2 linked regions of the Mus musculus genome follow. Each later gene encodes a partner of the first gene's protein in a complex. Links are inferred from orthologs where the notes say so. Each region holds a gene or a part of one and is shown on either strand. Other genes may lie near its edges.

Region 1 (3,822 bases):
GCCCTGACACTGTGGGTTGTTCCTTATTGAACAGAGACCTTGAGAGGGCCTGGCTCTCTTGTTCTTAGGCCCAGATGTTGTAATGGGTAGTTAGCACCATGTCTCCTTTTTAAGTAAGATCGAATGTCCTATGTACTAAAATGATGGACTTTTTTTTTTTAATCCCAAAGACGTGTTAATTTCCATAGATATCTTGGTTTTATTTGCACTATAGTATATTTTGTTTTTGTTTTTTAAAATGTCCTTACTAGTCTCTGGAACTTACAAGAAAGATGCTTCGAGACAAACAGAACAAAAAAAATTCAGGCCAGCCCCTCCCTGTCTTCCCAGCATGGGTGTATGAGAGACCAACATTGGCTGGAGATTTCCTGATTGGCTCGGGCTTGAGCTCAGACACAGTTTTGCCTATAGGTATGTGGTGAATTTCTTCTCTGCTTGCCTGCATGTGCCTCAGCAGGCCGTGACACACTGAAGCCCAGAGGACTTGAATGCTTGTTCTTGCATTCCTCCTGCTGGAGCCTTAGGACAGCCGGAGCTGGCCTCCTGGGCTGTGCACCAGTGTGTGACACAAGGACCAGGAGGTCACACTTTCCTGAAAAGTGACTTGTCATTACCACAGACTGCATCAGGTTTTAGTGCTATGCTCACAAAGGCCTTAAAAGTTGCATCTGTTTGACAGCATTGCTGTTTCAGGGCAGGTTCTCAGGAACCTACTACATGCAACCCCAGAGAGTCTTTTAGGACCAAATGTGAACATTTGCACTGGCATAGCTTAGATGTGGTTTCCTGCCTGTTTGATGGTAGCCTCAGTTTAAGAGAATTGTGAAGTGGTGTGCCTTGCCCCAGCTCCTGAGCTCTGTACGGTGTTAGTGCAGAGGTCTACTGTCACCTTTAGAAATAACTTATAGGGCTATTAGACAAATTGAGGGTGTTCTCCTGTCCCCAAATATTATAGGGCTGTTAGACAAATTGTTTTCTCCTGTCACCAAGCAGACATGATTCTGCTGCAAGTTCATGGGAAGGTAGAGGCAGCTGTCTTTATGTCGTAGACTTGTTGTTTGCAGTGTTGGCAGGTACCTAGTTGTCACCTATCCTGTCACCTGGTAATTGTCTCCTTCCCTGTCTGTTCTCCTGTGGCCAGCATAATCAATCATCATCATTGGCAGAGCCTCAGCCTCAGCATAACCATCATCATTGGCAGAGCCTCAGCCTTAGACCTTACTTTCCTGCACCCTGTGGATGTAGCTGGTGCTCTGCATAGTGTGTGTCCCTCAGGACTCTTTCCCCGTGGATTTCCCCGTCCTTAGCTTCCCTCAGCATCACGAGCCATCATTTCTCCAGTTGTTCCAACTCTTCCCTTCCATCCGTTCATCCCAGGGAGCTCCCTGTCTTCTCCCATTGCCTCGGCTCCCTGCGATCAGTCCCAGATCTACCTCTTCCATCTCCACTTTCAAGTGTCCAGGTAAACTTTATGTCACCTAAGGCCATTCTGCTGAGGTACCTGCCACCTCCCTAGTGGCTTACTCACACCTGTAGTTGTTGAAAATTGAAATGCATTGAGCGTGCACAAGCAACCAGTCTTCTGTTTCATTACCTTAATCCCAGTGGCCATGGCTTCATGCAGGGGCATGGATCTTGACAACCTCATCTTTCCTCTCTTCCTGTAGTTTCCATACTTCCTGTAGACATAGCTAGAGCCCTCTTTCAGTACAGGACCTGAGTCTCAGGTAAGGCTGTCCAGTGACAGCCCTACTGTGCCCCTCATCCCCAACAAAACCCTGACAGTTTGCCCAGGCTGGCCTCTTCTACCCTTGAGCTCCATTTTCCACTCAGGCCCTGCATACCAGACAGAGAAGCCAGGTCTGCTACCTCAGGCATTTGCACCCTGTATTCCCCAGCCCCTTCAGAGCTCAACTAAAGATCTGGTGATAGTCACCCCTTCCTTGTCCTCCCTTGTCACACTTAATACACTGTAAGATGCTGGTTCAATTTTGTTTGGTATTTTTCCCTATACAGGCATGCTGATAAGAGGACAGGGCTAGCATCTGCTATGCACATGTGTTGTTTAGAAGCCAGAGAGTGACCCGTCCAGCAGGTCCAGTTATTCGAGGGTCTCAAGGGGACCTTCTCCTAATAACCAAATGGGGGGGTAGAGAGAGACGAGGGTCTTGTGCAAATAACGACACGGAAACCGTTCTGGATTGCATCAAGACCCCAATGTATTGTGAAAGGCCCAAGGCTTAAATGCACAAGCAAAAGGGGAAGTACAGATACTTATCAGCAGGAGGGGTGGGGCAATACAAGCAAAAGGAGAAGTACTTATCAGTGGGAGGGGGGCAATAGAAATTCTTTCTTTTGGCAGCTACAAGGGGAAGCAGGAACTTGGTGGTATCAGGGTGTGGTCAGGACATCGGTGATGACTTAGAGCTGGAACATCCTGTGGTTATTCTCGGAATCAATGCGTCGGTGGCCCACTTTTGACCCCCTTTTCTTCTCGGGGGGTGTAGTGGCTATTCCTGGTTGTCAACTTGACTATATTTGGAATGAACTACAATCCAGAATTGGAAGGCTCACCAGTGACCCTTATCTGGAGGCTTGGAGATCCTTATCTGGATCTTGGTTTGGAGATCTTGAGCCATCGTGGCTATGGATTCCAGAAGATTGAATCTCAGAGTTTAAGGAACACGCCTTTAATCTGGGCTACACCTTTCATCTGGGATTAAAGGTGTGGTGGAACACACCTTTAATCTGGGCTACACCTTCTGCTGGAGACAATATAAGGACATTGGAAGAAGGGAGTCTAGCTCTTGCTCTTGCTCCTTCGCCTGCTTGCTGCGTGAGACTGAGTAACTGCTAGATCCTTGGACTTCCATTCACAGCTGCGACTGAACCATTGTTGGAAATTGGGCTGCCGACTGTAAGTCATCAATAAATTCCTTTACTATCTAGAGACTGTCCATAAGTTCTGTGACTCTAGAGAACCCTGACTAATACAGAAGTTGGTACCAGGAGTGGTTCTAGAGTAACAGAAGTACAAGGATGAATCTTTTAAAATACTGGAATTGGCTTGTTGATCCACCAGCACTTTCAACTATTGAAACCTCTCCAGATTCTCTCCCTACTGGGAGCTCAGAGAATTTTGAAGACCCATGGTTGAAACTATATTCCGAACTTAAAGAAGCTAATGACCTTGATTTTCTTAACGAATTAGGTGATTCAGTGCACAAAGCTTTCTACAAGATGGGGAAAAAATCGGAAAATGATTTTACTGGCTGGCTGCTCTTAGTATCTGTGGAAAAAATGATGAATGAAAGGAAGGAGTTGTGTGATAAAATCGAAAGGCTCCAGACACAAGTAAACGATCTAAAAGTTGCTAAGTGTGTCCTTGAGGAGAATCTTCTCTCTTGTAGCAATAGAGCTCAAGTTGCAGAAAATCAAACAGAAACTCTCATTGTAAGGTTGGCTGAACTACAGCGAAAATTCAAGTCTCAGCCTCAGAGTGTGTCGACAGTTAAAGTAAGGGCTCTAATTGGCAAAGAATGGGATCCTACAACATGGGACGGGGATGTGTGGGAAGACCATGTTGAAGCTGAGAATTTTGAATCTTCAGATTCTCAAGGGTTTGCCCCACCTGAGGAAGTAGTACCCTCAGCCCCACCCCTTGAAATAATGCCTTCCCCACATGAGGAAATTAATTTTGCAGAGTCTGATAAACCAGCAATGACTTTCACTACTGATGTTTCTCAAGGCCCACCAATAGTTTCTTCTAGACCTGTAACCAGACTCAAAGCAAAACAGGCTCCTAGAGGGGAGGTAGAAAGT
Region 2 (3,822 bases), on another chromosome or scaffold:
AGGCTGAGGCAGGGGAATTCCAAAGTTACAGGCTAGCCTGAACTGTATAGCAAAACCTTGTCTCCAATCAAACAAACAGGCCTAGAGAGATCTCTTAGCTGGAAATAATACTGGCTGCAAAAGTGTGAAGGCCTGAGCTTGACTCTTAAGCACCTACCTACATAATGGCTGGGCCTTGTTCCCTGTGAGAACTCCAATCCTGAGTAACAGAGGCAGGAGCTCCCTGGAGCTCTCTGGCCAGCTGACCCAACTTAAAGCAAACTTCAGGTTCAGTGAGAGAGCCTGTGTTAAGACAATAATGTGAGAAATGACTGAAGAAGACATCAGGCAACCTCCTATATCATGTATGTTTGTAGGGATGCACACTTGCATATAACACACATATATAGAAGTAGATATATAGAGAGACCCCAAAATGAAGTAGGACAACTGTTTTTTGGGATTAATCAATATTTGATAAGTAGTTACAGATAAATGGTTATCATAGTCATAAATATTACGGTTAAAAGTTGGTATCTGTATAAAATGTCAAATTAAAGAGGCTCTAAGAGGGTCCCTTTCTTTGCATCACTTCATTGGCAATCACTTTAAAAAGTCAGCTCAGTTGGGGTTGGAGCCTAGAGAGAAGGCTCAGTTAAGGGTGCTAGCTGCCCTTGTAGGTCCCAAGTTTGGTTCCCGGCACCTACACCGAGCCGCTCACAGCAACTGTAACTCCAGCTGCTGGCAAGCCAACAGTGACTTCTGCACCTTCACTCACATGTACCTACCCACAGAAAGGGAGACACACATGAATACACATCTCTTAAAGGAAATACAATTTTTTTTAGTGATTGGGATGTGTACATAAAAAGAAATATGAGAATCTGTCTCTGTCACTCATAGCTGGTGAGTTACTGAAATAACTTGGTCTATTTAGGATATTCTAAAATATATATTTTAATTACAAACTTTTATCACTAGATTGGATTGGAAATAAAGCTTCACAGTATAAAATATAATTTATATACGTAGTTATAAAGTAATAGGATATAGCTGTCTTTTGTAAAATCAATTGGAGACTTTTCTCTGTAAGGCGTACGTTCTTCATAAGTATTCTTACTGTGTCTGTTTCTAGCATGATGTAAAGAATCGTCGCACCTTCTTAAAGCGGACCAAGTATGAGGACCTGCGCCTGGAAGATCTATTTATAGGCAACAAAGTCAATGTGTTTTCTCGACAGCTGGTGTTGATTGACTATGGGGACCAATACACAGCCCGCCAGCTGGGCAGCAGGAAAGAGAAGTAAGAACAGCCGGGCCATCTTTTTCCATTGAAACCTTGCCTGTGACTTTGGCCACTAACTTCTGATTTCCTCTCCTCGGTCATGTTTTCACAACATAGTTTTTCCAGCGACCTAATATAATTTTATAACATTAAAAATATTTTGGTACTGATTCAGGGATTGGTTCCTAATTAGAATATTGAAGCAATATCTGTAGTCTTAGGAGGTGACTGTTTGGATGGGTGGGTGGCAGAGATAAAGCTCTTACACATTCTATCTGCTTTTTATATTTGTCACTAAAACCTAAGACTATTTGAGCATAAGGTTTTCTTCCTAAGCATAAGCATGATGCTGGTACGAATCACGGTAACCCGGGAGACGGTGAAGTTAGTTCTTGCAAAACTGAAGGCTTTGTGGGTTTGTTCTGTCTTGATAAAACTGAATTAAATTATTACCCCAATTAGATGAACTGGGGAGAAATGCTAATCAAAGGAGTGAGTATAGAGAAAGATCCAAAGGTGGGAAATCCTGTCTTAAGTTAGAACAACTATTTGCTATCCTGCTTGTGTAAGTTGGGGGCTAAAACTTATAAAAGTTTAATTACTACAACAATGATCTGAATTATTATGGTAACAGTAGATATGCAGAAGAAGTAAGGAGTGTACGTGATTAATAGAAATGCAGCAGTGCATGCCAGGAAGCAGCTCAGTTGGGGCAGTGCTTGTCTAGCAAAGATGAAGCCCAAAGGCCTGAGACCTAGCCCCGTGTAAAACTGGAGGTGGTGGCACGTTTCTGTCATGCCAGCATGTGGGAAGTGGAGGTAGAAAGATCAGAAGTTCAAGATCATATTAGTTTACAGAGGGAGTCAAGGGCCAGCTTGGGTTACATGTGACCCTGTCTCAAAAAAAAAAAACAAAAAAACAAAAAAAACAAAAAAGACAAAAAAACAAAAAAACAAAAAAACCAAATAACAAAGATCAAAGACAGTTCAAGTTAAGAATGGAAGTTCTAGAAACTTTGGGTGAGATGATGATGAGAAGCTGCCTCAGGGCAATTTAACAGAAGAGATAGGCAAGGTAACAGAGAATAGACCCTGCCCCAAGGAGAGAGCGATCAGAACATCAGAAATCACAAAGCAAGAAGTAGCTTGCTCCAGGGAATTTTATTCAGCTATAGAGAGTGAAATTCTAACATCTGCAAGGAAGTGGACAGACCTGGAGATCATTACATTAAGTGAAAGAAGCCAGATTACTGAAAGATATCAAGTGGGTTTTTTTTTTAAATATGTGGAATATAGATAGATGGATAGGTGGGTGGGTGGATTGATGGATGGATGGATAGATAGATAGATAGATAGATAGATAGAGTATAGAAAGGGGACCATGGAGGGAAGAAGTTTAAAGAGAGTGGGGAGTTGGGGAGTGAGAAATTGTAATAAAATATACACGTCATAAAAGCTAACAGATTACTGGGTGAAGGGAAAGGGACTAACAAGAAGTGAGTCAGGATTAGGGAGGGCGGTGGGGTGTGAAAAATAGCAGACTATAACAAAAATATCACCATGAATCACATTATTTTATATATTAGCTAAAAATAAATTTTTAAAAGACAATTATGTCAACTATAATGTGTGGGCAAACAAAAAGGACAACCCAGTGGGACGGAGTGGGCAGTGCACTGCTCCACTGGGGCAGATCCCTGCAGGAGGACCTGGGGCAGGGTGGGACAGAAGCCTCATCTGAAAGGGGACAGAGGAAGGGACTGGGTAAGCTCGGTCTGTGAGTGAAGGTCAAGGAGGTACATTATGAAAATGGAACACTGAAGCTCATTGCTCTGCGCAACCACTAAGATAAATTTAAATACCAAAACCCAGAAATTCGGGACTGGATAGGACCTGGGGACGATTCTTCTCTTGCTGTCTTACTCATTTCCGTGTCTTCTGCATCCCTGAGCAAATCTCTTTACGCATTGCAAGAGCAAGGTTAATTTCACCTCCGAGTTTTGCAGCCTTCATTCCGTGACTTTTTTGGCTCAATGCTTTGGGTCCCTGCAGTAGAACACATTATGAAGGATATTGAGTGGTAGAGGAAGCTGTTTACCTCAGGGCACAAAAGGGTCTGCAGTCCTAACAGCCCTTCTAAGCTGTGACCTAAAGACCTCCCAGTAGCTGCACCACACACACACACACACACACACACACACACACACACACACACACACTGCACACTCTCTCGCACACATGCAGATACCCCCACATGTACCTTTTTATTATTCTTTCCTTACTGCTTGCCACCCTGATTTTCTTTAGTTTTGGTTTAGAAAGAAACAGAACCAATTGGAGATGCAGCTAAAAAGCAAGCTTTAAAGAAAAACCAAAAACCAAAACCAAAAATGGACTTAATAATGATTCTCTTCTGAAAAATGATTTCCCTTGCTATGAAATGGCATTTTACTTTTCATTGTCCACATTTATGAGTTGCAGCTTTCTGAGAATAGATTAAATATGTTGGTAATGAAATTTTAATTCTTTCCTTTGTGTTTTATTCAGGGATAGAGTATTT

What was found.
Region 2: Tubgcp2 (region 1) and Nme7 share a complex: the UniProt entries of both Homo sapiens proteins name them as parts of the gamma-tubulin ring complex. The link is inferred for Mus musculus from reciprocal best matches to the Homo sapiens genes TUBGCP2 and NME7.

The regions. Positions count from the first base shown.
Region 1 is NC_000073.6:140,026,416-140,030,237, reverse strand, and holds part of Tubgcp2 (gamma-tubulin complex component 2), read left to right. Parts: intron 1-251; coding exon 252-411; intron 412-3,822. UniProt on the Homo sapiens protein: Component of the gamma-tubulin ring complex (gTuRC) which mediates microtubule nucleation.
Region 2 is NC_000067.6:164,331,498-164,335,319, forward strand, and holds part of Nme7 (nucleoside diphosphate kinase 7), read left to right. Parts: intron 1-1,114; coding exon 1,115-1,281; intron 1,282-3,822. UniProt on the Homo sapiens protein: Possesses an intrinsic kinase activity. Displays 3'-5' exonuclease activity with a preference for single-stranded DNA. Does not seem to have nucleoside diphosphate kinase activity.